Astyanax mexicanus: one gene and its partner. The protein of the gene in region 1 purifies or fractionates together with the protein of each later gene. This does not show direct contact. Links are inferred from orthologs where the notes say so. Each region holds a gene or a part of one and is shown on either strand. Other genes may lie near its edges.

What was found.
Region 2: the proteins of cope (region 1) and copz1 purify together in Homo sapiens (affinity purification with mass spectrometry; 3 studies listed by BioGRID and IntAct, with this or other methods). This does not show direct contact. The link is inferred for Astyanax mexicanus from reciprocal best matches to the Homo sapiens genes COPE and COPZ1.

The regions. Positions count from the first base shown.
Region 1 is NC_064415.1:56,235,704-56,251,014, forward strand, and holds cope (coatomer subunit epsilon), read right to left. Parts: upstream 7,904-15,311; 5' UTR 7,864-7,903; coding exon 7,762-7,863; intron 7,307-7,761; coding exon 7,244-7,306; intron 6,079-7,243; coding exon 5,978-6,078; intron 5,861-5,977; coding exon 5,708-5,860; intron 5,623-5,707; coding exon 5,569-5,622; intron 4,869-5,568; coding exon 4,787-4,868; intron 4,601-4,786; coding exon 4,445-4,600; intron 3,952-4,444; coding exon 3,883-3,951; intron 2,678-3,882; coding exon 2,603-2,677; intron 2,346-2,602; coding exon 2,298-2,345; 3' UTR 2,141-2,297; downstream 1-2,140. Other genes in the region: slc25a24l (solute carrier family 25 member 24, like), read right to left, coding at 8,947-9,131, 9,439-9,577, 9,796-9,963, 10,598-10,705, 11,049-11,186, 11,606-11,764, 11,975-12,086, 12,863-12,950 and 2 more. UniProt on the Homo sapiens protein: The coatomer is a cytosolic protein complex that binds to dilysine motifs and reversibly associates with Golgi non-clathrin-coated vesicles, which further mediate biosynthetic protein transport from the ER, via the Golgi up to the trans Golgi network.
Region 2 is NC_064420.1:848,333-864,255, reverse strand, and holds the start of copz1 (coatomer subunit zeta-1), read left to right. Parts: upstream 1-7,863; 5' UTR 7,864-7,952; coding exon 7,953-7,970; intron 7,971-8,933; coding exon 8,934-9,002; intron 9,003-10,088; coding exon 10,089-10,170; intron 10,171-10,268; coding exon 10,269-10,360; intron 10,361-10,464; coding exon 10,465-10,520; intron 10,521-11,118; coding exon 11,119-11,196; intron 11,197-11,460; coding exon 11,461-11,512; intron 11,513-12,472; coding exon 12,473-12,511; intron 12,512-15,923. UniProt on the Homo sapiens protein: The coatomer is a cytosolic protein complex that binds to dilysine motifs and reversibly associates with Golgi non-clathrin-coated vesicles, which further mediate biosynthetic protein transport from the ER, via the Golgi up to the trans Golgi network.

The DNA of each region.
Region 1 (15,311 bases):
GTCTCTGATATAAACACATATACACTACATGGACTAAAGTATGAGGGAAATTAAGTCTATATGAGCTTTTGTCTCATTCTATATCAATAGGCATTAATGTGTAGTTGGTCCCCCTTCCTTGCAGAAAGAACAGATTGAACTCTTCCACTCTTTTCCTGCTCTCTCTGAGGGATGTTTTGCCCATTCACATTAAGAAGAGCATTAGTGAGGTCAGAAGTTATTGTATCTGATGGGGTGAAATACAAATAATTTTTTACAACTCAACTAAACTCACCCAGTCATGTCTTTATGGACTTTTCTTTGCTAGATACCCCACCTCCTCCACAACTACCATGATTCTCACAAGAGCTGGGTATAAAAATTTGATACTAAAAAGGTATCGACCGAAATGTCTCAGTACCTCTCAGGCACTCCCTCTTTTTATCTCTCTACCCTAAGATATATTATGTATATACTTTATATATATTATATATTGTATAAATATATGAGACAGTAAAAAGCTCTAGTCTGCCTGACCTAAACCACACCACACCATTATTACTGATTCCTCTCAAAAATACAGGAAACTAGCAGCTCTTTAAAAAGAAAACCATTAATATAAATTCACACCATTAATATAAATATCATTATTTTTTTCATTTCTAATGCAGATATTTCTTAAAAAGAACTTTTAAATACTGAAATGCATCCAGCAATATGCTTAGAGAAAGTATTTGTAGTTAAAGCACAAGTAATATGTGTATCTATAAGTATGTGTTTGGCACCTATGTTCTTGTGAAATGGCTTGTACTTGGAAGTTTTGTCCTATGGCATACATATACATACATATATATGTGTGTACTTACATACATTTATGCTATATATGTCTTATAAAGTTATATATATATATATATATATGTATATATATATATATATACATATATATATATATATGTATATATATATATATATATACATATATATATATATATATATATATATATATATATATATATATATATATATATAACTATTTATAACTATATATAACATATATAACTCCATACAGTCTATTAATTGTTTTGCCAGGTGAGGACTGAGAACTATGGCAGTTTTTGATATCAGAAATCCACAGGAGAAAATAAAACAAAGGATGTTATAAGTTTGGTTCAACTTAAGGATCAACTGCACCCCCTACTGGTCACAAAAATGTACACAAATTAATAAAATATAAATAAATAGATAAATAAAAAAACAAATGTGGAAATTAATGCCAAGTAAAAGCGTTTTTAAAGGTTAGGAAATGTTAAAAAAAATATCAAGCAGGACTGGTATTTTTCATTACTTTAAATGAACACATTTCAGCTATTAATGGAAAAAATATATGCTTTGGGGTTTAGTGGCTCTTTAAAGATTTCCCTGGACAGTAGAGACAAAGCCTCTATCACAGGCAGGTGAAACTCTTTTTAATGTACATTGGTTATGAATGACTGAACTGTACTTATTGTATGAGACCTATAGAAGTCTAGGCCAGTGGTTTCCAGCACAAGGTCTGGTCAGGTTATTTATAGCTGGGCTAAGTTGGGTTCAGCTGGCTGAGGAGACCTCAGACGTCTGGAATAAAATATCTGTGTTATACTATACTGCCCTCTAATGTTGATTAATATTAACACTGTATTAAACTTCTTATACACATTTATTCACCACCATAAACGGTTTCTTTACCCTTTCAGACACTGCGTCCATTACAAAAGTCATCATGTTTTTTCTTCTTTCTTCTTTTTTTTAATGTTCCATCACAATAGATAATTTACATGCCAATTAAAATGTTAACCAGCCAATGAAGCAATAGCTTGCCAATAGGAACCTTAGCTAAGAAGGAATTGTAAGCATTCATTTTTATACATTTTATGTAATTTAGGACACTTTATTTTAGCAAGTTTATTTTATGGCTTAATCATGGTTTGTGAACTAAAAGGGCTATATCAGTTATAAAATGACAATGTTAAACTCAGGCTTCCAATGCAATGGGCATGTTAATGTTAAATATGAGATTATTTATGAGAAAATCAGGTCTAAAGGGGTTAAAGTCTATTTTTAATACCACACTTCCTTCAAGCTCACTGGACAAATAACACATTTTTGGGAGACACACAACGCATCACATAATAACAGATTTATTAAACAAGTGTACAGGAATGCTTATGGAAATTATGAAGGAGTTTTAACATATTGCAAACAATAAAAAAAACAAACCATGTGTTATAGTGATCACTGCTTTCAGCCCATATCAGAAGAGAGAGAACGACGCCTGGTTTTCAGGCACTGGGAGCGTACTGCATGGCGAGTCTGTCGAATTCGTTCTCCTGAAAGGACACAGAATTATTATAAAATCAATTATAGTGGCACAAAAAGCAGAAAAAAACAAAAGCAGGAACAAAATCATGACCATTAGCATACTATTATAATCAGGCTCATCACGAAGGTAAAACTGGAGGTCATTACTCTTAATCACTGCAATAATTAAAAATCCAGCTCACGCTTTCATTCAGTTCTGTAATCAGTTTTTAATGACTCCCACACTCCAGTTATTAGAGGGATCTGTAGGGGTTAAAACACTTACCTTAACGAGATAATCCTTAATGAAAGGATGAGATTTGTGGGCATCTTTCTGCTGGGATAAGTAGCGATTTGTAACCTGTAGAGACACAAGAAGAAAAACAAGAAGGAAAGATGTTTACTACAGGTGTCGTCTTGATCTAGAGAAAGTTAGCCAGGAAGTGCAAACTGTGCAAACTGTGCAAACTGATCAACAATTGAATATATAGAATATGTAAGTAGAGAAAATGTTTTATCAGTATGTATTACTATCAATATCACTATTTTAAATGCTGGAGTCACATGAGGGAAGCATTAAGTCCACTGACTTTAGACTAATAGAACACAGTGGATCAACACCAGCAGATGACAGACATGTCTCTCCAAACCATCACTGATCATCAGTAAATTTTACATTTCATTTAAAGTAAATCAAGGGAGCAGAGTCTGGAGGAAGAGTGGAGAGACACACAGTCCAAACTGCTCGAGGTCTAGTGTGAAGTTTCCACCTATCAGTGATGCACTTCATGCTTCCCTTTGCTGACAGCTTTTAAGGACATGCGGATTTCATTTTCCAGCAGAACTTATTTTTCCATATTTCATGGCACAACCACTACGTAATGTTGCATTAAGAAGGTATCTTAGAGGATGGGTTTTATTCACTATCATATTACACTTCAAAACAACAAAAGGCTAAATGCCTTATTTTTCACTTTTATATTATTTATATTATTTATCGCTTTAGAAGTTAACTAAGTTAAGTAAAGTTAAGCTAGGTAAACAAAACTGTAATAAAAAAAAATATATTTTAAAGTCGAAGAGTGCTCGATGTTAATCTACAAAGATTTCTCTCCTGAAAACTGTTTATTTGAGTGAGTAAAGCGCTTCCGTTTATTTACAGTAAGATTAGATTACCAAATTTCTTCAGCATTAAGGACAGCAAAAGAGCTAGCGCTGTGGTTAGCGGGCAATGCTAATGCTGCTCCAGCAGTGCTAGCCATGGTTAGGAGCAGGCTACAGGCCGATAAAACTCAACTCTGAACGTGACATAGCGGTTTGCGGCTAATGCTAATGTTACTTCAGCCCCGGTGCTGGAGAACTAAATTGAAACTCCTGTATAACTCTGTACTTCAGCAGAAAAATAAAATAAAATAAAATTCATACATAAGGCGCACCAGATTATAAAGTATGCTGATGATTTTTGGAAAAATGAAAAGATTTTAGTACGCCTTTTAATGCGAAAAATACAATAGTAAATAGTGTTTAGGACATGGCAGTAACACACACACACACACACACACTGACCTCGGGAGGCTTGCCCAGGTGTTGTGTCAACACAATCAGGTTGACGAGTGTCTCAGGGTGGCCGCTGTCCTGTAACAGAATCGAAAAGAACACAATAGAGTGAATAAACAGGCAATAAGGATCTTCTCACAGATAACTGGGTAACTGGGCTATTTAGGCTGTAAAAACAGATAGCGAAAGAAAGAGTAATCCTAGATTCTGACACTGAATTCCTTTTTTTAAGCCAGAACTGTTCATGAATAATGTTCATTTACTGATTTATTCTAAAGTGAAACACACTGCTGATTCTGATTTGTAAATGTCCTGTACTGTATTTCATTGGTACAGAGTTTTATGTGGACATCATTTTAAAACATCTATTAAATCAGAATATTTACGACATCAATCCCATATGTGGTTTAGATTTTTTGGACAAAGACTAAAGAGTGCAGCCTGAACAGAAAACACTTTATTAACTTAACTAACACTTAATTAAAGCATAAATAATGTATAGCAGTAACGACTCCTAATTTAAAATGGGCTTCAATGATTAGAAGACTGAAGCTCAAAGGCATTTTCTCACTTTGTCCAGCGCGTCCTGCAGGACAGACTCAGCCTCGTCCCATTTGTTCTGGGCCATGTGGCAGGCAGCCTGACCATTCAGCAAGATTAGAGTGGGAGAGTATTTATCAGACATCTCCTGGAAGATGTAGAAAGCGTCCTGCAGCTTCTCTCCTCCCTGTCGAACAAGGAAAACACAATAAGAGACACGAGAAAGAAGCAGCATTTAACAGAACGGTCTCGTGTAGACTGCCCTAAAGCCATGACCGGATTCTCCGGACATACTCTGCAGTACAGTGCAGTATACAAAAAAACTGTAAACTATTATGAAGTTAAAAGAAATACAAACAACACAGACACTCACCACAGAAAGGTTGACCCAGGCAGTGGCCAGCTGAGTTAGTGTAGCATCTTCATCCTGTTCCTGCATCTTCTTTAGCTCTTTCCTACACAGTTAACAAATCAACACATGAGCAACAGCAGGTGTGAACTTTCACTTCTGCCCACTAAAAACCACTAAATCAAATTCAGGGATAAAAACACTGGGCTTAATTGCACTGGTGTTGTCATTATGTAAAGAGTTCCCAAACAGATGTACAATATAATGAATAAGAAACCCATTTTACACCATTTGTGAAGAACAACAAAATGTAGTATCTGTAATAATAATCTTTAATGGCATTTCAATAAAAAAAGACATATATATATATATAAATGAAAACATTTTTACTCTTGTGGTTAAATGTTTATTCTATATCCTTACAGGATTGGTCAAAATAAGCATGACTTGTCAAATACAGCTAATTACAAGCCTCTTTGTCCCACCCACAGTGCAGGATTGGTTGAAACCTGGCTCACGTGTTGAACAAGATGCCTGTTTTTCCTAATATTGTATTTTTGTAATTGCTTAAATCAGTATTATACAAGAATATGTCATTTTTATCCCTGGGCTCCCCCTACAGTCAGGGAGCTGAATATAACTTATGCTTTACTTCATTACAGTCAATGTGCCAAATAACAGAAGCTGATACTTAACATATAATTAATATGTAAATTTGTTTTAAACAAACTTAATTATGAATCACATCCATATTGCACAGCCCAACATTCTTTCACACACCACACAAAGAAAACATCACAGCATACCTTGCCATGTCAACTCTGTCCAGCTTCAGAAGTACCTGGACGGTCATCGCCATGCTAAAACAAAGAAACAAAAAAATCTAAATAAATAAATAAAACAAGACAAAGCTGAATCAAATGTTGGATTCTTCACCGCACTGACCACTCGAGGCTCTCTCCCTGGTGAAGTGTTCGCAGGGCAGCGTCTGTGTTCATCTCGTGCAGGTAGATGGAGGCGGCCATCAGCAGGAAGGTGGTGTTTGAGACGTCCACACTTTGACTCATCTTCTTATCCAGCTCAGCCACGATTGAATCCCTGCACACAGTTTTATTACAAAGAAAAAGTGTGTTTTAATATAAAGCATAAATAATAAGGGATTAACATGTACATTCATTATGATGGGTTTCAGTAAATCACATTCTGGGTGCTGACCTTTTGCCCTCATTAGACAGATAGTCTGCAAACATACGGACAGCTTTCAGATCCTCAGAGGAACTCTGCTTTATGTCATCCAGCACCACTCCATACTTTCTCTGCAGGAAAAAACAACAAATATCACTTTAAATATTCTGGTTTTAGATGGTCTACGCTGGTTTTCACTGGTCATGGTGGTTGAAGTGTTGGTCGACCTGTATAAATACATGCAAATGTTCCAAATGTGATCTGGTTGCACAGTTTAGCTCCTGACCAGCATGACATACATTTGAGTCTTTTTTTTTTGTGTGTCTGGTCAAATGCGCCGACCAGTTGAGGTCAAGAGGTTGAGCTGGACCATCAGCATGACCATCCAAGCTAACTAGTCTGTTCATTAGACATATTGGTCTGCCAGTTTGGCTGTACAGGATGATTAGCCTCATCAGGACAGTCATACTATTAAACTAGCTAGTTGACTAGCTTAGCTATTGACCAGCATGGTGTATGTTTTTATTTTATGGATTAGCTGGTCAAGGTAGACTTTCAAGGCTTTGTTAGTCACACTTGCAAAGCAAATTTGTCTGTAGTAAATTAACAAAATTTACATTTTAACACCCACATTGTTACTTTAACACTAACTCTGTTTTACTGTGTTTATTTTGAAGTAAATAAGGCATGAGGAAAATTCACAGTGGATATGATGTGAGACCAACTGAGGGACTAGTTTAGATTAGCCTACTAAAGCATACCTTATATTTTTATTGGGTCTAATGGAGCATAACCCAATTGAACGAGCTTATCATACTGGTCAATCAACAGGTATGCTAACAACCAGCAAGGTGAAGCCAGCCTTTCTGGTAAACCAGCTCAACCATCACACACAAAACACACAAAAGCAAACCAGTTCAGCTGGACAGTAGGAGTATGTCATATGTATCGCACACTTTTATTTTTTTGTTTGCTTGCCTTTAATGCAACAAATATTTATGCTGCACTAATTTTGTTAAATATTTTTGTTGTTTATTTATGTTATTTATTATTTTACAATATTTTTATTTTATATCAATTAAGGGTCTAACTTAATACAATTTAATATTTATTTTGCTGCTGTAGTATAGTCTTTAAAAAAAATATAACACCAATCCCTACTGAGCAGTTAATTTATTTTCACCAGGGACAGGTCTTACTGGTGCACATATTGGGCTATATGATGCAAATAATAAAAAAAAAAGCAATAGACAAGAAAAAAGTGGAGCTGCATGGCGTGTAACTAACATAACCTACCTGTGCTATGTACGCCCTGTAGAGGAAAATGTCCTTCTCCAACTCCTTGTCTGGTCCTGAAGCCTGTAAAATCGATATATGAGCATTACAGTGGGGCATAAACAGAGAATCGAGGCCTGAGAATCTAACTGTGGAGTAAATTACACTAACAGATGTGGGTCAAGTAATAAGTTAGTTTTGTAAAATAATGAGTACAATGAGCACAAAAGTATAAATTCCTGTATAAACAACACTTCTCAAAAGGTAACATTAGAAACAGCTAACAGACAGTCCATATGGCCATTTACAGCTCAAATATCTGAAACATTTATAACGTTCCCTGTAAAATATATATGGTAAAGTATACATAAAGTATATATAAATATATACAGTAAAGCAGCAGCAGCTGACTGGTGTTGTTTTCTATGCTAAGCTAAGCTAACAGCAGTTAGCCGGCTGACAGCCTCCCTAAACCCGCCTCTAACTGAAGCCCTGCTCCCCTGTAAACCCAGTAAAAGCGCTGTAGAATCTCCTCATACCTTCACTTTCTGAGCTTCATTAATACAGTGCTGATAGCTGCCGATATAAAAGGCGTTTTTCACGTCGAATAACTCGTCCACTTCTCCCTGCTGCGCCGCCATGATGCTTCTGAACACCAGTACACGTCACTTCAGCGGCCACATCATCCAGGTCGGCTGCAGGAAGAGTGGGCGGGGCGACGAGCGACGGTCTTATTTCTCATTGGCTGACGAGTCTGTCAATCTCACTCGCACTCATCCATTCATTTTATTAGAAACACTAAAGCTAACTACAAACACTAGAGGAATTTAAAAAGACTCTAAAAAGACTTTAATAGACTAAAATCTGACACTCTTTCACATCTAAAGACAAGTCACAGACATTTTAGTCACAGACTAAGATTTTACAAAAACTGGTAATCTTGCAAGACTGCAACTAGATTCTTTCTCATCCAGGCCCTTCTGATAAATAGTGTATTTAAATATATAATAATAGTGCACTTAAACTGTTATGGAAGGCAAATCCTGCTAAAAATAAGACTGAAGTAAAAATACTCAAATTAAAACGCAAATACTGTTTTGCGCTTTCTTTTTTTCCAAACATGTGTGAAAATATTAGAAAAAAAAATAAAATACAAAAATAAAATAAAAATTACTTTTATTAATTAAATTTTGCCTTTTTAATTTTAATTTACAAGCTTATTGTGAAAAATAAAAGCTTCACTTTGGCCTTTCCTTTTCTTGATGAACTGCATAATAAATGGCAAAACTAAAATCTAAATGCACTGGTAACATTTTTATTTATTTTTCCTTGCAATAGGCTGCATGTCTGACAATTAAAATAAAAACACAAAATGGAAAAATCAATAGCAAAGTAACAGTTTGTGATTTAGTTTGTAGAGTGAGTGGCGCTTTAAGTGTCAACATAAAAGGGAAATACAAAGAAAGATTAGCGCTATCTGCTGGTGATTTACTATTCATTGATTCATTTCCCACTTTTTCCCACAGTAGGCGGGGCTACAACCACAGAACCGGTAAGTATAAGCTTACCATTTCTCATGAACACTCCTGTTGTTTAATTGTGCAAAAAGTAAAAGTTTAAAAAATCAGTTCTGTTCAGCTGAACAACTCTTGAAAGCACACAGACCCACAAACACAGGCTAAAGACACATCAGGTGTTTGTCTATACAGGGATTTTATTGCTCATCATAGATGTGTGGAAAGCAGTTCTTCCAGTTTAGAGATGAGGGTGTAATTTAGCAGAGCACACGGGACGGCCCGCACAAAACTAGCCCCCATCCCACTGTAGAAACCTCTCAGCCCGTTCTTCTCATAGATCCCAACCAGTCCATGAAATATATGTGAGGAATTCTGGCAGTTTGATGTAAAAGCTGGAAGAGAGACATGTAACAATATAACAGTTATATTGACAATAAAATAGTCTAAAATATTATATATTATTATATATAATAACTGATGTAATAATTCAGTAATTAATAAGAAGCATACTGTATTTCATAAGAGCTGCATTACATCACTTATTTTACAAAAATGATTATATAATATATTATTTCGTAATGATTAATAAGGCAATAATTAGGCATACAAAAAATTTAGTAGGGTAAAATGTTTTTTCTGGTTTGTTCGGCAGCACAGTATCAGTAATTATAAAAAGCCCCACTGTTTTATACCCCTCACCTTGCGCTTGATGCTGGGTTCTAATGACGGCCAGAGGGTAGCTGCTGGCCTGTCCACACGCGAACGCCACAAAGCTGAAGAACAGCAGTTTGATGTCACTGCGGTTGGCAGGGTTTCGTCTGGCCCAGCTCATTATCGACTGTTAGGACAAACGATGAGGTATGAGCTATTTTTCTTATAACTGTTGTAGTTAAGTATGTTTAAGCATGTTCATGTACAGTAGGGGCAGCAGATGGTAAGAGTATATATTAATAAAGGCACAAATTAACCCTGTGAACACATTGAGGCTATCAGTATAGGCCTTAGCATAACGTATGATCATATATTATTATGAATATGGCCCCTGGTTTGATTTACCTGATGAACAGCACACTCCACTCCAGCATATGGGATCATGCAGAGCAGACTTGGTCTGAAACCTCTGTAGAAAGCTGTCACAGACTCGTTGCTGTAAATGGACTTTGCACATCCCAGGAGTCCGCTGTAGTTACCGGCCTGCTGCAGATTCAGCCTCACCTTCAGAACCTGCGATTGAGAAGCAGAAAACACAGTCCAGTTACTGGTCTTAATGACTTTTTGTTTCTAGTAGAACCAAACCTACCTTTTAACTCAAATGAGCAAAGACTTCTGCTGGCCCCCAGACAAAAACTAGTTGTGAACTGTGTAAGAGGCCGTTTAAATTCTGTGATGGTCAATACAGGAAAGAACAACAACACTTTTTTCAGAATCCACCTTAAGGGGGCTCCTCCCACTATTTACTGACAGTAGTATACAACCAGACTGGAACATGTTCAGCAGTATCCATGCACACCAGCTGTTCACTGTCTTTAACACTAGAACGGATAGAGCTAACGACTAACTGACATTAGTTTCACACACCAAAACCTCAAACTATTTGCTAATAATTAATTAACTTCACATGTCTTTACTCATCTTAATTTTATTTTTAACTGAACTGAGTTTTATATGGTTATATTTGTAGCCACAATCTGTCTGAACTCTGAGAAAGAGACGAGACGCAGCACATTTTGCCTCAATCTTGGTCAAACAACGATAAAACATTTCAGTAAAGATGGTGGTTATAATGTGTTTTATATCATTTGCACAGAAAGGAGAAAGCTTCCTGGGAGTGCTCAGACCTGTGATGTATCTGTGATACCTCTAGGGGGTAAAATGCTGCGTGTGCTACAGCTCCAGACACACAGCCCAGTCCGAAACGCTGCTCCACAGACAGGTGATCTCTCTCGCCCAGGGTCTGCTTCCTCATCTGGGAAACAGACAGAAAGCAGTTTGTAGGATTTGATTGGGAACTGCTCTAATTAATGTGATTATAAACAAGACCTGTGATTTTATTCCAGTATGAATCTGCAGCTTAAAGTGTAGATCATTAAGTGATTCAATTCAAAAATGAGTTTTATGCGTGTTTGACAATAATAATTATCTATTACCTATTAGACACTTTTGCAGAGATAATATATTACAGTGTTGATTTCCAGTAGTTTCTACAGTCTGACAGTGTATAGATTGATAGGTATATTTTAATAACTAGAGAGTGATTTTAACTCAGTATAAAAAGATGGAACATGTGAAACAAGGTTATATTTATACACCTGGGTATACAGGAAACACTGCAGTGTGGACTGTGGTGTTCCTTTAAGCACATTAACAGCATTTCCCTGCCACATGGACCTCAAGCCTCCAGTTCTCAGATCTTGCAAACCCAAAGACACAGCCTTGGAGCCATAAACCTAGAAAACAAGGGAAGGAACATCTATAAAACATCTATAAAAGCTGAACAAAGTTGTCCACAGTTTAAATATTATAAAAAAAGATTTAAAAAATCTGTCAATCAACTAGAAAATGTAATCAGATTAATCACAACAATATTCTGTGATTAGCTGTGATTAATCGCATTTGTTCTTCTTAAGGGGCAAGTTTTACAGTGGATATTTAAATGTAAATAAAAGAATGAATGTAAAACATGTAAAATGCAATTATATTTAGTTTTAGTGGTCTCAATTAAAATACTGGTGTATATTTCTATGTTTGAGGGGAGATTAAAAAAAACAACGTGGGGTGCCGGAATAAAGAATGCATGATAAATATAGATAGAGGAAACTTTTTTTTACTTTATTGTAAACATCTCAGCTTGTTTGAGCTGAAATACCTGTAGCTGAGTCTTTAATCGGTCAATGGGAGCCGTCACAGTTCTGGAAACAGCGTCAGACAGACCTGCAGCCAGGATGAAGTTCCTCCACTCGGACAGATCCGTCTCCGCCTGAGTGAGCTCTATAGGCATGGATCGACTCTCACCAACGTCAAACACCTGCAGATGGAAGCAGCAAGGAAAGGTGATGATTTAGGAATTCTGTAATTAAATAGTAATAGTAAATTTATACTAAATTAACTGATAAGTAAATCTTAAGTAGAACTGTTTTATGCATTACAAATTTTATTTATCATATATATGCTATAGTATGACAGGGTTCTTTTTTATTGGATTACAAGTCCAGGCAGTAATAAGTGTGCTCTTTACCAGTGTGTGCTTCCATGAGGATATAAGCTCTCTGATATTTTCTGCTGGGTTGATGATCACATGTTGCAGGAATTCCCCCCAATCCACAGTCATGGAGCTGTCCTCATCCATCCTAATAATGAACAGAAAAAGAATTAACAGAGTTAACAGAGAACCATCTCTGTTTATACCCAATCCCAGCAGTACAGACAGCAATATGATCATATGATGTACATGATGATGATATATAAAGTATATGTAGCCAATTAAAATGTTAATTAGCAATTGTAAAAAAGAAAAAAAGGCAAATTTCATGCATCTTGGCATGTTCTCCTCCACCAGTCTTACACACTGATTTTGGATAACTTTATGCCTTAACTCCTGGTGCAAAAAAAATTCAAGAGGTTTTCAACTTGGTAAAATCAAAGAAACTCATTGTTTTCAAATGAAATGGTCTCTTATTTTGTCCAGAGCTGTATATATACATATAAATATCTTTTACTTTATATTTTACCACAGTTAGTTCCGACCCTGCAATGTGATTGGCTGAGAGATGTTCTGTGAGTTATCATTATCAGCCAGTAATGCACTGTAACCGAAGCACTCCATGTATGACTCCGCCACATACAGGTATCCTAGCAATAATGCAGCGCTTACAAGCCAAACAGCGCAGCTTAGATACAGAGTATCAGTATCTAAAGTTAGTGGGTATAAAGCATGCAGTGATGATCCTGGCCTTTCTGTTAAAGCAAATAAGGCTTTTCCTCCTTCCTCCTCCTTCAGTAAATATCAGTGGGAAAATGTTTCATTCCCAGTAGGTCTATTCCCTCTGAAAAGACCATGATCATCACGATTATTAAATCAGGGGGTTTGGATGCATTCAGCATAACCAGTAGCAGCAGGTCTTACATCTGGATGATTCTCTTTGCGCTCTGCTTTGATATGACCACACCTAATTCCTTAAACACATTTACGATATCCTCCTGGTCAATGACTCCTAATCAGAAGAGAAATCAATGTAAACACAATATATTTAATAAAAACAGTGCATCAACCAACCAAAAATATACTATTAAAGCGCTCAGCTCACGGCTAAACAATGCATCTGATGTCTGCTTCTTTACTTTATAACTGGAGATGCTAGGCTAACAGGTTTGCTAACAAAACTGGTGACAGTCCAAGTGCAGTGTTTGTTAGTATTACTTTGTCTGGCAGCTAATGAAGCACACTAAAGATATAAAACCTGTCTTAAATGATTAACTGCCTCTGAACTCAATTTTTACTTGATTTACTAATTTAGCGAAATATTTGAGGAATGCACACCACGGTTGTTCTTATCAAGGTTCTGAAAGTCAATCTTCCACTTCTTTTCTTGGTCCATTATATAGTTCAGGAACTCCTCGTAATTAAGTCGTCCATCCTGATCACGGTCACTGTTGCTCACGATGATCTGAAAAGAAAAAACAAGATTTCTCACATTTTTACAAGCATCATTTCATTTAACAGTAAAGCACAGTATAGTATATCAAGTATAGTATAACAAGTGATAGTAAAAGGAATATTCTTCATAGGATTGTAGAGTATGTTACAGGAAGATATGATGCAGTATTGTTATGAGCTATAGTTTAGTAATTCAAAATAAAATTATAGTATTAAGTGTGGTAAGCTGATTATATGGTAAATTACATTACATTTGGCAGACGCTTTTGTCCAAAGCAACTTACAATAGTCAAGTACAAGTAATAGGAATTAAGATAAACCATTTTTAGATAGGGCTTAAAGGAGGTCGAAGGGAAATAAAGGGATAGAGAAGTGAAGGAGGGGAAGAAGGAAATGAGGTTAGAAATACTGAAAGGTAAAATATAACAGCTATACAAGCTATAGTAATAAGCTATAGTATAGTCTTTCAACATAATTGCATTACTGACTTATCATACAATAAACAGACATGACCTCAATAATTTTGATAACTGTGATATCATCTAGTATATATAGTACAGTATATAGTATTGTTTATAGTATAGTATAGTATATATGTATATCCATAGAAAGAATATAGTATAAAGCATAAAGTACAGTGTAGTACAGTTGTGTACAGTATAATAAAGTACAGTATAGTGCAATATAGTATTGTGCATTATAGTACGATACAGTATTGTGTATATCTGGATGCAGGTCAGGCTGTTGTTGTTGTTGGTGGTGTGTGTGTGTGTGTGTGTGTGTAGGAGGATGTTAGCCTGTAAGAGAGACTCACCCGGGCTTTCTCTTCACCACACACCACCCCAACCCTCCTCATCTCCTCCTGCAGCTCCTCCACCGAGATAAACCCATCCCTGTTCCGGTCCAGCTTACAGAACAAGCTCTCAAACTGCTCCATCACCTCCTGATCCACTGATCCACACTCACAGCTACAGCTACAGTCTGCTAACAGAGCTGCAGCATCAGCATCAGCACCAGCATCAGCACCAGACCCACGTGAGCCTCCATTCATCCCTTTAACTAAAAGGAACAGTACACAGGATTACATGATTATAGAAAGAGACATTCAGCTTTATAAATCAGTGTAGTTTATAATTAATGACCTGGTTTATTTAGTTAACATATTGAATTAATAAACTGGATTGAGTAACAATAAACTATGTAAATGTTGTGTTTTATAAATAAGGTATGTATAGTGTAATATTTAAAATATATTCATTATATTCGATATGACTAGATTTGTGCTTATACATACACATATACATTACCAATCAAAAGTTTGGACACAACTCTTCTCATTCTCATTCTTCTAATTTCCTATTTTATGATTTTTTACTATTTAAATGTAATACTAAAAAACTATATTAAAGCTATTAATAATTAAAGAAGTTATTTATGAAACAAAAAATTGCTAAACAAACCAAGAAAATGTTTTTTTTTTTTATTAAGAAATTTTGTGTTGTTTTAATACCAATAAAATATGAAAAAACGAAATTCTGACTGCAAACTAAACAGGTTTGCATTGCAGAAATAAAACGTTGTCTGTCTTTTGTCTTTCTCTTTATTAAACTCTTGAATAATTAGTTTCATAATCCAGTTTTTTTTTGTCTCTTTTCTATAATCAGCAGGATGGCTGGATGCTGTCTGCCTCTGCAGGTAAAACGCTGAGTCATGGGAGATTTCACCCACTGGAGTTCCTGCAGTTCCGCTTATTGACCAGCAGGCGCCGCCAAAAATCTTATAAAAAAGCTTATAATAGTCTAATAAAATGTATGTAAGTTTATGTTGCATTAATTATTTTTTTTTTTATTATTTAAATAATAGTGATCAAGCTTACAAAGTACAAAAGATTCTTATAGATTCTTGTAGATCTATTATT
Region 2 (15,923 bases), on another chromosome or scaffold:
AGCAGTGTCACCAACCGTTCACTGATAGTTTAATGCAAAGTTCATTAAAGGTGCACTCTGAATTTTCTATAGAGCTGCAGAAAGTCCTGGAGCCATATTTTAATAATCTATAGCGGATCCAAAGCATTTAAAGCATGTCGTGTGTCTTCGGTATTGCAAGGGCTAAAAAAAAAATACTCATTGTGCAGCTCGAAATCGTTTTTGCAAAACGTGCAAAAGGCATGTACTAATTGTCTTAATTAATCATGTATGCGATTAATTTTGGGCAAAACATAAAATAAACCAATCACTGTGCCAGTTGTCATTCCATTTAAGAGCCAGATGTGCTCTGACTTTGGCACGTTCATATCTTTTAAAATTTAGAGCATTTATTTGCAGAAAATGAGAAATTACTGAAATAACAAAAAATACACAGAGCTTTCAGACCTCAAATAATGCAAAGAAAACATTAAGATCATATTCATAAAGTTTTAAGAGTTCAGAAATAATCAATATTTGGTGGAATAATCCTGGTTTTTAATCACAGTTTTTTTTTCATGCATCTTGGCATCATGTTCTCCTCCACCAGTCTTACACACTGCTTTTGGATAACTTTATGCTGCTTTACTCCTGGTGTATAAATTCAAGCAGTTCAGTTTGGTGGTTTGATGGTTTGTGATCATCCATCTTCCTCTTGATTATATTCCAGAGGTTTTTAATTTGGTAAAATCAAAGAAACTCATCATTTTTATGTGCTTTCTTATTTTTTCCAGAGCTGTATGTGGAAGATCATTTAAGAAATACTGTCAAAATGCAAAGTCAATTATATCCCAAAAAAACCCAACAGATTCCACTCTAAATATATTAATATATCTGATGTTGCAATTTTCCATTTATTATTCATACCATTATAAAGCATTCAAATTTATTCATGCTTAATAACCTCTTAACTAGTACCAATTTAGACATTACTCAACCATTTAACAGTGTTTATTATTTATTACTCTGTTATAAGTACTGTTATTTGTGACCCTTATTGTAAAGTGTCATTAAACTAAAGGATTAGGGACTGTTGCTGAAACTTTTCAAAGTGTGTTTTTCAGTTCTGATCTTCCACTTTAACTTGAGAAAGACGTTGACGCACTTTTTGCACTTTCACTAAATGTCACCACAGTTTTGCACGTTTTACCTTCTTACATCTGAGGACATTAGTCACATCGTCCTTCACTAGTACATCAATTACTCATCACTGCCGTCCCTTCTTCTCTCTCACTGTCATTTCTCCATTAGTTTTAGTTAACAGATGTCACAGACCGAGATTAAAATCATCTGGTGATTAATTGTGGTGTGTCATCTTCATTTGCACAAATACAATGTAAATCATAATCAGCAACAGGTGAAAGTCAAGCTTGAGAAACAACTGCTTTGTTAATATTAGTATAATATTTATAATTTACAAAGATTAAGAAAGCAGGTCTGGGACTGTACTGTTGTGGATTCAATAATAGGGTGGCATAAAGTTATCCACAGTTATCCAAAAGCAGTGTGTAAGGCTGGTGGAGGAGAACATGATGCCAAGATGCAGTCTGAAAGCTCTGCATATTTTTTTTGTTATTTAAGCCATTTCTCATTTTCTGCAAATAAATGCTCTAAATGACAAAAATTTTATTTGGAATTTGGAAGAAATGTTGTCTGTAGTTTAGCAGGGTCAATTGTGCTCTCTCAGGACTTTGGCAGCTGATGGCAAGCTGCATGGCTGGGATTCGAACCAGTGATCCACTTGAAGCCCTCTATTACAAAATATTAGAATCTACAATTCAGATTTTTTTTTTTTATTATTAATGACAAACCACTGAATTTAAAGTGTGTCCAAACTTTATTTGTGTTTGACTATTACGTTGATTTATTCATTTCACATTTGAAATATCCACTATTAAAAGTTTCAGTGTTAAGAAGGAGAATGTACATTATATTAATCATTAAAAAATAATAATTAGTTATTATATTTTATCATTACATTACATTTACATTTATAACATTTTTGCTGACGTGGGTTAATGTAGTGTTGGGAGTCTTGCCCAAGGACTCAAAAACGTATTGGTGTAGAGCAGCATTCAGTCACCCAGATTAGGAATTGAACCCCAGTCTCCTATATAATATGGTAGCTCAATGGCATGCAGTGGTGTTTTCCACTGCGCTACACCAGCCAATGACAGTCAACGGACAGTTCTACTCATTTCTTTACGAAATGGAACCAGGCTCCTTGGTTCTTCCTGGTGGTCTGAATTTTTTGTGGTGAACTCTTTGAAGCTTCGCCTCCAGATCCTCTAAACTCAGAGAGAAAACTGAAGGGTGTTCCTCTCTTTTGCACGTCTTTACTGAGGCCGTTCAGCAGTTCAGCAGTTTTTCCTCACGATTGAAGTATTTAAAATATTTCTTGGTGTTGTTTTACTGTGGTCTCCTGCGGTCTACCGGGTCTTTGTGTTTTTTCACAAAGTTCACCAACGCATTCTCGCTTGTTAACAGTGAACCAAACCGTGCACCGTGGCACTAATGTTTTGGCGGGGTCTCTGGATGATTTACTTGCAGTATTGTTTCTCAAAAATTGACACGACTTTGATCTTCATGCTGAGAAACAACAGTGACAGTCTCCAGATGTAAAAAAAAAAAAAAAAAACGTCACATCGAGAACAATCTCCAGACCTTCACTTTTAGCTCTTTTTTAGATTTTTTGTGCATAAATTAAAGATTTGGAGCAACTATGTTCCCATGAATCCCACTCATGCAGCTTGCCATCAGCTGCTGGAGCCCCGGGAGAGCACAGTTTGTCTTGCTCTCTCTCTGGGTGGGTACAGTACAGTAGATGGCGCTCTTCTCTTTCCCCTCCTCATCACTCCTAGGGTGATGTGGATCAGCACAAGGCTGCATCTGTGAGCTGATGTATCAGAACCGAGTCGCTGTAGGTGCTTTCCTCCGAGGGGGAGTCCTATAAGTAGGTTGGATAATTGGCTAAGAAGCTAAAGAGACTGACTTGACTACACGTGACTTGCGTTACTCAGGATGTTATGCAGAATCAAACAAGAAACAAAATGTAAAATACGTTGTTGGGTAAAGTGTGGGGTTGGGAGACGTGGTCAGCATGGTCTCTACACGTTTCATAAAGAGCTGGAGCGATTTCAGCTTCTGCAACAGTGCTAACATTATAATATGCAACAGAAAATTTGAATAAAAAAAATATGTGATGGTAAGTTGCACTACAGTGTGGACAATTTTACCAAAAAAAGGCCTTTTCATGAAATCATGGTTTACTTAGTTACTAAGTTACAGATACTTTAAATTGTTCAGGGTGAGCTTGTTCTGTTTTAAATATGAGAAATATGAGGTGAATTTAATATGATTAATAGCTGAACATGCAGAAAGTGTCTTTATTCCCTAGAAAAATATATATATATTATTTTTTTAAATGGAAATAGCTAATTTAAATTATTATATTTTAAATATTTAATTTTTTTTAAAGGATAACATAGTATTCCTCTATATGTGTATTAATACTAATTCAGAGTACATCCTAATACTTACTGCTACGGCTTAAAAATGATGAGTTTCTTTGATTTTACCAAATTAAAAACCTCTGGAATATAATCAAGAGGAAGATGGATGATCACAAACCATCAAACCACCAAACTGAACTGCTTGAATTTTTACACCAGGAGTAAAGCAGCATAAAGTTATCCAAAAGCAGTGTGTAAGACTGGTGGAGGAGGAGAACATGATGCCAAGATGCATAAAAAAATGTGATTAAAAACCAGGATTATTCCACCAAATATTGATTTCTCTTTCTTTGGAATTTGGGAGACATGTTGTCTGTAGTTTATAGAATAAAACAACAATGTTCATTTTACTCAAACATAAACCTATAAATAGCAAAATCAGAGAAACTGATTCAGAAACTGAAGTGCTCTCTTCATTTTTTCCAGAGCTGTATATTATTTTATATTGATATTAACCTCACTATTAAAAATATAAATGCATGTGCACTCTTGACAGTGATGCTGCGACGTGTATCAGAAAGATAGTTTATCGCTTCATCAGGCACATCCAGCTCGTATTGTGTCCTCTACAGCACTAAAGGATGATTTCGAAATGCACTTCGCGGTAACCTTGTGAAAACCCAGAGCTGGATTGTGAAACGCGCTGGTGAGCCGCTCTGCTGCTGCCAGAGGCTTTAGAACAATCTCCACAGACTTCTCCTAAAACCCTACTAACACAATTAAAACTGTGTACAGGGTGGAAATGCTGTATTCTCTCACTCTCACTTCTAAAATAATACCTTCCTGCAGGAAGTTTCAGGAGTTCTTCTATTTAAAACTGTGGAGGAACTCCTTAACCCTTTCAGACCCTGTATTTACTTTATTTTACAATTTTAACTCCTTTATTCCACAGCTACTTATTAATGCTGTTTAATTTAGGGTGTAAGTCGATGGATATAACATCAATGTTCTGTATATATTTTGTTTGTTTGTACTGCTACAGAGGCACACTGCTCAGCCCAGTCAGATCTCCCTCCTGCCCCGCCCCTAAACCCATACATCACCCACTGCCTCTTCCAAATAACCCATACACACATACTTGAGCATTTTTATGAATGGTGGATAAGGGTATCCACACAAGATGATCTCTCAGGTTCTAAAGCTTAGAAAAGATAAAAAAAAAAGTAATTTTTTGTGTGGTATAGTTTACATTTTATAATGTTTTATAGATACTCTAGTTAGCTATATAGTTTCAGGGGAAGGTCAGAAAATATGCAAATATAAAGTTTGAAGATCTAGAAAAAATAGTTTACAGTATTTATTTTTCAGTAAGAAACTTATTTTCCTTCCTCCAGACTCCCTTGATTTACTTTAAATGAAATGTAAAATTTACTGATGATCAGTGATGGTTTGTTTGGAGAGTCATGTCTGTCATCTGCTGGTGTTGATCCACTGTGTTTTATTATCAAGTCTAAAGTCAGTGCAGTTTTGTTTTCCCACAAAATCTTACAGCACTTCATATCTTACAGCTTCCCTCTGCTGATAACAACTTTTATGAAGGTGTGGATTTCATTTTCCAGCAGGACTTGGCACACTGCCCACACTGCCAAACAAAAGTACCAATTGGTCTTATTATATTGATTGACACTGATTTTGGGTTTTTTTATTGGCTGTAAGCTTCATAATCATCATAATCATCAATAATAAAATAAATAAATTATTAAAATAGATCACTCTGTTTAATACATGTATATAATATATGAGTTTCACATTTTCAACTGAATTACTGAAATAAAGCAACTTTTCAAAGATATTCTAATTTTTTTAGATGGTCCTGTACATACCCAGGTAACTCCTCTAAAGTTTAACACTGTTTATTTTGCTGTGCATGTTTGTAACTGTGAATAAATGAAAAACAATCCCTAAAATAAAGTTAACATGTTAAATACACAACTCTACAGTCTGGTTTTCCTGATATGGTATAAATGACCCTCTGCAGGCCTGGGAGCAGATCTTGGACGCCGTGTTTGAAACCAAAAGGGCTGAGAGCAGGAGCTGAGAGGACTCTGATGTCAGTGTGTGTGCAGGAGGAGTGAGCAGGGAAAATCCCCTCGGAGCTCGGGTTTTCACAGTGGTGCTTCCCAGAAGAAGTGACCAGACCCGTGCCATGAGGACGATGACGGCCGCCTGTAGGAGGATCTGTTAAATTAAAGCAGACGTATCATAAGCTGTTTACTGTTTTACAGAAGACTCGTGTCATTGAGGCCTGTGCCTCATAAAACTAACCTCAAATCACTGGATTACGACCCAAATTAAAACCAAATTAGATCAGACACTCATGGTGGTGCTATTTAAAGAGATCGGCCCACAAAAGCACTCGGAAGTACATTAAATAAGATTGTGGAGATATTGTTTTAAATAACAATTCAAAAATAGTTTTACATTTTTTAAACTTCAAATACAATACAGCCATGTTGAGTAATTCATCGCAGTAAAATACTGTAAATATATACATTAAGTTAAACCCTTGTGAAAAAATTGTGTATTTAAATATAATAATAGTGTCCTTAAACTACAGATCAGAACTACAGAAAAAACACCAATTCAGTTTCTGAATCAGTTTCTCTGATTTTACTATTTATAGGTTTATATTTGAGTAAAATGAACATTGTTGTTTTATTCTATAAACTACAGACAACATTTCTCCCAAATTCCAAATAAAAATATTCTTATTTAGAGCATTTATTTACAGAAAATGAAAATTCAGAAATCAATATTTGGTGGAATAACCCTGGTTGGTTTTTAATCACAGTTTTTTTTTTTTTTCATGCATCTCAGCATCATGTTCTCCTCCACCAGTCTTACACACTGCTTTTGGATAACTTTATGCTGCTTTACTCCTGGTGTAAAAATTCAAGCAGTTCAGTTTGGTGGTTTGATGGTTTGTGATCATCCATCTTCCTCTTGATTATATTCCAGAGGTTTTCAATTTGGTAAAATCATAGAAAATCATCATTTTTAAGTGCTTTCTTATTTTTTCCAGAGCTGTATGTGTACATGGTGAATATGGTGAAGAAGAGAATAGGCAGTATATGGATGAGCTGTAATTGACAGGGGAAGGTCAGATACTGGTTGGCTCCTCTACAGACCTCAGTGCATGACAACGCCTGTGCAGAAACATTCCAGTAAATACTGAGGGTACTGTAGGCAAGGAAGTGGGCCTATTTTTGTGATAGAATGGCCTATTGGTTTTGAATTCAGCATGACAAAATGGAAAGTTTCAATAAAGGCAAGACAGGCTGGAATCCAGGCTCAGTTATACACAGCGGCACAGGAAGGTCAGGAGTGCACTGAACACAGTAACGTTCAGACTAGAACTCTGGGATTTATTTAATGAAGATTTAAATAGGTAAATAAACTAAAGAAAATGTATGCAAATGTGTAACTTTACCCTTGTAAATAAATTAAGTATCCTTAAGAGCATTAAATGTATGTTCAGATTAGGCTCTGCATTTTCTATTTAATATACCTTCTCTGTATTTCCATAAAATGCATTTTTTAAGCAATATGCTTTAAATTAAATGTTGTGTTGAAAAAAAAATGTTTAGTGGCATTAATTACTGTGCACTATAGTTTATAGTTTTTTTTTTCAAGTTGTATAAAGTGTATTTACAATATACATTAAGTGTATTGAACATGATGTTTAAAAAAACACAAGCTATAAATCTACTTAAGTTCACAGAAGTTATACAAAAAAGCACTCAAAAGCACAACCTAATGCTTTTATGTTGTATTTAAATATATTTTAATTGCAATTGAAATATATTTAAGTTGCCATAAGTTGTTCCAAAATAGTACATTTAGTGTGTATTTAAATACATATTAATATATATATATATATATATATATATATATATATATATATATATATATATATATATATATGTATATATATATATTTTTTTTCTTTTACAAGGGTAACCACATTAAGGATGATCAAACCAAACCAAATAATAGCCTTTAATATTATGACATTAATCTCATAATATTAAGATTTTATTCTCTTAATATTACAACTTTAATCTCATAATATTACAAGTTCATTCTCGTAATACTATAATTTTAATCTTGTAATATTACTACTTTTATCTAGTAATGCTACGATTTTAACCTTACCGCAATATTACTACTTTATTCTCGTAATATAATGACTTTAATCTCGTAATATTTTACAGATTTATGTTTGTAGTACTTTAATCTCGTAATATTACAAACTTATTATGACTTTAATCTTGAAGTGTACTGTTTTCATACGCCATCGTATTAGGGATATTTTGGACGGACCTGTATTTTGAAGTGAAACGCAAGGTCACTTCCGGTTCAGTCACAGCCGGAAGTGGACAGCACTGGGATCGGCAGGAGCTCCGCTGATTAACCGCGAGGATGGAGCCGCTAATACTGGTATAATTATTACAATACTGTATTTATTAATATTATCTGAGCTGTATTATCTCTTACTGTGAGAACTGGAGCTTCAGCAATCGCTGCTGTGGAGTTTAATATTAATAATAACAGTGTTTTACTACAACAGCAGCAGCAGAGCTAACTAACTAGCTTTTACTGATTATCCTCTAAAAAACACCCAAAATAACTTTATAAAAGTATTATTCTCTCTTTCTTAACCTTCACTGATAATCCTCTAATTCTAAAACCCCAAAACTTAGTTTTTACACTTATTATTCTCTCTTTCTGAAGCTTTACTGAGAGGAAAGCTTTATTTTCTTAAATGCACACACATTTTTTTTTTTTTAAAGCTGTTTTGAGGCAGACATGCTAACATTAGTTAGCTTAGCTAGTTTAAAGCCGTTTGCATCCATATCTAGTTAATTATCTATGTGTGCTTATATTACTAAAAATCTGTAATTAGTATTTTTAGCTTGGAAGTTAGGGTAAATATAATGAGTGTATAAAACTTATGCTCCTTATTGACTTTTATATAAGTTGAATACATGGACTGGGTATTAAATAATTAAATAAAAAAACTAACTTTTTATTTAAAGTGAGGAAAACATTGTTTTCTATGAGATTTGCTCTTTAAAATTCATAATAAAGAAAATTTGTTGACTGTGACAGTATTGCCATTTTACTTTCTTAAATCTGGATTTAATTTTCACAATTTTGCAGATAGAATCTTTAATCTGTAATGCATAAACGCTAATTATTTTCTATGCGTTTTCTATCAATTATTCTTACTTTTCTAAAATATTGTTTCATGTTTCACTTTAATTTTATTTAACATTCCTGCTGCCTAATTCTCAGCACAACCTTTGCCTGTTAATACGTTGGTGTACGCGAGTGTAGATTAGATTAACTCATAAATCTGTTTACTGATTAACTCGCGTGATTCATGTGCTGCTGTTTCAGGAGCCCTCTCTGTACACCGTAAAAGCAGTTCTTATCATGGACAATGATGGAGAAAGACTCTATGCTAAGGTAAGATAAATAATAATAGTAATAATACTCCAGTCCTCACTCCTTTCTGATTGTATTTATTTTTTTTTTGGCTCGGGACCGCCCACAGGCAGCATGCAGTTCATTCCTGTGTTGTTTGTGCGAATAACACATCAGTGTTTTATATACTTTACCCAGTAATTCAGAGCTAAGAAACAAATGGTTAGAATTAGTCTATGGAGGAAAAAACACCACCAGCCAAGTACAATTGAGAGGTGTTTAGAACAGTTCTGTTTACACTAGTTAAAAGTAAAATTCCCTGATGGATTTTTACTTTCCGGACCTGGACTCTGTTATCCACCTCTGTGTGTAAGTAACTATAGGTTTAAATAGGATCTCCGGTGGATTTGGTGTTTTACAGAGACTAAGACTAGGTCAGTGGCTGAACTGCACTTAGCAGGGCATTATTACACATGTTTTAAAGTAACATGTGACATTGTAAAGACGTTTCTAACTGTTGTCCGATGCACTTTGCCAATCAGAGGTGATGTTTGCATGTATGAATATTCATAAGCAAGGGCTGTAATCCTATCGTTCTTTTCCCGCCCACTCTTCCACCGGACTAAAGCAGTGTTATACCGGATCACCGGAGCACTTTTTTTTTTTTTCCACAAAAAATAGCTCACATGGTATTCATTCATACTAGAGACACAAGAAATGAAATAACGATGTAATGAGACCTTTTAACTAATTTGGAGATTTTTTTTAAGGTAATCACTTAATTGTTTGCACTGGATTTTATCATTTTATTTTATATGGGATAAAGGGATAAACATGATTTCAGATTTTTATTTGATTAAAATTGTGAAGTAATTTTTAGTCCACTTTACAATTATGTGCTACTTGTTGTGTTGCTCTTTCACTTAAAATCTCAATAAAATAGCTTACTTTATTTATTTTGTATGGTTTGTTGTTGTTGGGTAACAAAATGTGAATACATTCAAGGGTATACACACTTTAGAAATTCAAGAAACTGTAAATCTGAGTAACAGAGCTGTTTTAAAGGATTGTGATGGTTTTATCTGTACGTTTTATTTATAACGTCTCTCTGATTAACCTCTGTTTCAGTATTATGACGACACCTACCCCACAGTTAAAGAACAAAAGGCCTTTGAGAAGAACATCTTCAACAAGACGCACAGAACAGACAGTAAGACAGTTTTTTTACGTTTATTTACTACACGGTTTATTTGTTCTGAAGTTTTCACAGTTTTATAATTATCTTGATTTGATTTTTCTCTTTAACAGGTGAAATCGCTCTGCTTGAAGGCCTTACTGTTGTTTATAAGAGCAACATAGATCTGTACTTCTATGTAATCGGGAGCTCACATGAGAACGAGGTAACAGCTCAAACCTGATTCTTTTAGCTTAAACTTATTCTTATTTATTTGTCTAATAAACACATCAATCAGTTTATTAATTTGTATTAAATTTTTCCATACAGCTGATGCTCATGTCAGTGCTGAACTGCCTGTTTGACTCCTTGAGTCAGATGTTGAGGTATGAAATAATTCTCTGTGATATACAGCTCTGGGAAAAAAAAAAAAATTTTCACTTAAAAATGATGAGTTTCTTTGATTTTACCAAATTAAAAACCTCTGGAATATAATCAAGAGGAAGATGGATGATCACAAACCATCAAACCACCAAACTGAACTGCTTGAATTTTTACACCAGGAGTAAAGCAGCATAAAGTTATCCAAAAGCAGTGTGTAAGACTGGTGGAGGAGAACATGATGCCAAGATGCATGAAATTAAAACTGTGATTAAAAACCAACCAGGATTATTCCACCAAATATTAATTTCTGAACTTTTATTTAAAACTTTATGAATATGATTTTATTTTTTTGCATTATTACCATATTTGTGTAAATAAATGCTCTAAATGAGAATATTTTTATTTGTAATTTGGGAGAAATGTTGTCTGTAGTTTATAGAATAAACAACAATGTTCATTTTACTCAAACATAAACCTATAAATAGCAAAATCAGATAAACTGAGGCCTCTAAATCTTTCCAGAGCTGTATTTTTGTAGATTCTGTAATTTGAGCTTTCTCAGTTAAATTTTAATTGTAATAATAATTCTTTTCTTTACAGGAAAAATGTGGAGAAGAGGGCCTTACTCGAAAATATGGAGGGTTTATTCCTGGCTGTGGATGAGATTGTAGATGGAGGGTAAGTGTGTTTTTGTCAGAATCAGAGATATTAAATATTATTGAAAGGTGGTGTGAAAATGCATTTTTGTCACACTTACATTATTTTAAATGATCAAAAAACATTAATATCAGCCAAATATAACTTTAATAAATCTAAAAAGTAGTGGTGTTGATCGATTAAAAATGTAATCAGATTAATTAATGTAAACAGGTACTAAAATGTTTTTTTCTGCTGTATTTGAGTGCTGTATTTAACCTGTCTCTGTCTGTCTGTTTCTGACAGTGTGATCCTGGAAAGTGACCCGCAGCAGGTGGTCCACAGAGTGGCTCTGAGGGTAACTGTGATATTATTACTATTCCTATCTAAAACATTTATGTACAGTGGCCTGCAAAAACCTGGGCGTCCGTTTAAAATGTGTGTTACTGGTTATAATCAAGCAAATAAGGTGTAAAATTAAACAGCTTTATAATTTTACAGTTTCACAAGTAAATAAGTACAAGGAGTAGCCCCCAGTTTTGGTAGCCAGGTTTTGGTTCTCATTGTTTGTTTGGATGATTTTTTGCCCATTCTGCAACACTGCAGTTCCGAAGCATGAATCATCCACCCCCATGCTTAACAGTTTTTTTTTTTTTTTGAGAGTTTATGTTTCAAAGATATTCAGCACTCTCTAAACTCTTCTTAATCAGTCAACAGGATTTGTTAAAAAAAAAAAAATGGATCAGTCTAGTTTCAATGGTGTGGTTAGTTTTTCTTATGAGTCTTTGCTGTATGTTGTGTTTGTGCAGGTTTTGCTGCACAGTAGAAAAGTGCACCACAAATTCAAAACTGATATTTTTGCATTTTAAAGGAGAGTTTTGTTTAAACAGTTCTAGCATTAGTTCTTCATGAAAGTTTTCTCAGTCTTCCAAGCCAATATTTGACCTCCACACTTTCTTTTAAACTGTCGTTTCTTTTACAGTATTTTTGTGGATAAAATCAAAATAATACTCTAATCCTTCTTTAGAAAAACAGGTGAAACAAAGTTTTCTCTTTAACTAAATGCCTTTTAGAGGCTTTCTGAAGTTTTTGACGGTTGTGTCTGAACTTTTGCGTGCTCCTGTATATCAGTGTTAGTTCTCTGACAGTGCGGTGTGGAGGAATATTATTATTATTATTAATATATCTGCTGGTAGAGCTGCTAGATTTGATTTTAAGTATTCAGTAGATAAGACAGCATGACGGAGGACAGAAATGAGTAAGAAGCTCGACTGGAAGCTGATGAATTCCACAACTCATCATCTCTGATCTCCTACAGGGCGACGACGTTCCTCTGACAGAACAGACCGTCACTCAGGTGAGAGGAGACTCTCCAGCACACACACACACACACACACACACACACTCACCCTCTCTTTCTATCCATCTCTCTTTCTCTCTTCTAATAATAATAAACCTTTTTTATATAGCACCTTTCACACCAACAAATACAGCTTTATTTTATATTAAATTAATTAATTAAATAAATTAGCAAAATGTAAAAGATAAAACCAAACAATTAAACAATTAAAAAGTAACAATTTATTAAAATAGTTATAAATATGTTCTGTTATAAATAGGACAGAACAACCAATTTAATCAATTGAAAATTTTAAGTATAAGCAGCCTCCTGGTGTTTTGGGAACATTACTAGTGATTGAGAAAATCCTAATGAAAGGGTGGAGAATATGGTTTTCCGAAATTGGGGGAAAACATGGGACAAAATTAAGTAAAAAATTATATATATATATTAAGAGAACACTCTGGAATATAATCAAGAGGAAGATGGATGATCACAAACCATCAAACCACCAAACTGAACTGCTTGAATTTTTACACCAGGAGTAAAGCAGCATAAAGTTATCCAAAAGCAGTGTGTAAGACTGGTGGAGGAGGAGAACATGATGCCAAGATGTTTTTAAAACATTTCTGCAACTCATTTTCTGTAAATAAATGCTCTAAATGAGAATATTTTTATTTGTAATTTGGGAGAAATGTTGTCTGTAGTTTATAGAATAAAACAACAATGTTCATTTTACTCAAACATAAACCTATAAATAGTAAAATCAGAGAAACTGATTCAGAAATTGAAGTGCGACCTTCATTTTTTACAGAGCTGTATATTGAAAAACCAGTATAATATTGCTGAATGACCATTCTCCTCCTCTGTATTCTGCTTTCCTGTTGTCTCGGTTCAGTAGCGGTTGTTTACCAGTGGTGTTGTGTTGTGCTCCTCGTTGGTGAGATCAGTCCGCGGCAGTGTGTTTGGTGTGTTTGGTGTGTTTGGTGTGTTTGGTGTGTTTGGTGTGTTTGGTGTGTTTGGTGTGTTTGGTGTGTTTGGTGTGTTTGGTGTGTTTGGTGTGTTGGGTGTGTTCTGGGCTGTGCCGCTGGGATCCTGCCCCAGAATCCCTCACCTCGCTCCTGCACCTCCTGCGCTGCCGCATGTAAAGCATGATGGCTAATTATTGGCGGCTGTCTGGCAGCGGCGGCTCCCCGCGGCCGCGAGAGGCGCGAGAGCAGCCTGATTGATGGGCTCATTTAAGAGGCCTGCGACAGACTGCCTGCATCCCTCCCGCGCCTCTGATTAATGCCGCTCCTCGTCCTCCTGCTTTATGGTTCTACTTTACCGAGCCTTTTCTCGAATTAAGATGATTAATTAATTCCTGGATATTTTCCCTCGTGCCTGCATTACTCAAACAGCAACTTTTACATACAGAGCAAACATATATTATTATTATATACAGCGCGGAAAATAAGTATTTAATACGTTGACGGTTTTGCACGTTTTACCACCTACAAAGAGAGCGGAGAGATCTTTAATATTTACCGTAAATTCACTTCAACTGTGAGAAACAAGAAAATCACATTGTATGATTTTTTTTAATAATTAATTTGCATGTTACATGTTTCAATTGCAGTCCGGATGCAGGAGTTTTATCACTGAGTAGAATCGTGAAATATTTTTCATGGACGTCCCCCTGAGAAACGAATCCTTTCCAGATAGGGCTTTACTTAGCCACTCCTTAATTGCCATGACTGTGTTTTTCGGGTCATTGTCATGCTGGAAGACCCAAACAGCACATCTCTTCAATGTCCTTACTGACAGAAGGAGGTTATTGGACAAAATCTTCTGCTACATGACTTCATCCACCCTCCTTTCAATATGGTGCAAGCATCCTCTCCACTTTGCAGTAAAATCATGTGATTTTAAGGCAATATATCGTATTTATTTCTCTGATAACATTTTTGGTCTTACTAAGCATTGTGTAAGTGTACGATTGTTTTATTTATTTTAAGAATGGTTTATAATCTGATTCAGTCTTTTCAATTCTTTCTAATTATTTTAAGTAATTTGACTCAAAATAATCACAAAAAGTCACCAGTCAAGTTATTCTGATAATTGTGTACGAATTTAAGCCAGATTTTTGCTTGCCTTAAGTGTTACATCACTCATTTTGAGACTTTTTTTTATTTTTTTAGAAATCTGACTAAAAAAAAAATTTGCTTACCCCATTGGCAGATTATACATATTTTTACTTGTTTTTGCCAATTAGTTTTTATGCACTGTTTTTCTTCTTCCAAACATATCGAGTGGAGTTAATACTGAAAGTCTCTACTTGGATAGGTGTGATAAATATTACAGATCACTTCATTCTTTATAGTTGGAAAAACATGCAAAATCAGCAGGATATCAAATACTTACTTTCCCCATACTTTTTGTGTTTGTTGTTCTTAATGGGCTTTATATATACTATGTATTTCTAAGTGTGGCGTATGAGTTTATGGTGATAGTTTAGGGTCAGAGATGATTCGATCGTGGAGGTGTTAATGTTGATGTTGGTGTTTGATGGCGAGCTGCAGGTCTCACAGCTCGGAAAGCTCCTCGTCTCCTCGCTGATGAACGAGCGGCGTAACGACGCTGTAAATAAAACCCTGAGCTTTAGCGTCGCAGCGCAGCATCAGTGTGTTCAGATTCAGTTAGCACCGTTAGCCTCGCGCCGCGGAAGCTGATTTTTGAGGGATCTGTATCTGTAGGTACCTGCGTTTATTAATGAGAGCGAAGTGCAGGAAACACTTATCAAATAAACAGCCTGTTCCTGACCGTTAATCCTAATGCAGCGTAACTGCCCTCACCATGCAGCTCAGATTTAGATGAGAGAGAGTTCATCATAATGTAGCAAAATAATCCTCTTCACTGTTTCTCATATATTTAGTGCTCAGAATGTGTTGGCTTGGTGATATGGAGGACAATATAGCAGAAATATTAAGCAGTGTGCAGCACAGAATCCAATGTTTATTTGTCTGAAATTTTATGAGGAGTAAATGATGTAGTATTTTAAAATAAATAAATTTTATTTTAAATAAAATTTGTCACAGCTAGTCATAATGAGTTTCACTGTCCAGTTTCATGATGCAATGAGGTAAATGGGAATGAGCCTCCCATTGGATAGTTACTGCATGGATGATTTATATAAAGTTTTTTTACCAAATGAGAAGCTACTCTCTGCATCAGTTAGGGTTAAATATAAAGATTTATCATGTGGTTGTGGAAAAGATCATCTAGTTCATCTGTTTCAGAAGGTTCAAATTAATGGCATGCTTCAATAATGCAGAGAAAACATCTAAAATCTAAGGATATAAAGCTGATTTGGCTGAACTTTAATTGGCTTTTTTGGTTGAGCAATCACTATGGGTAATATCTAGATACATTCCTTAAGTAAACAAGTTTA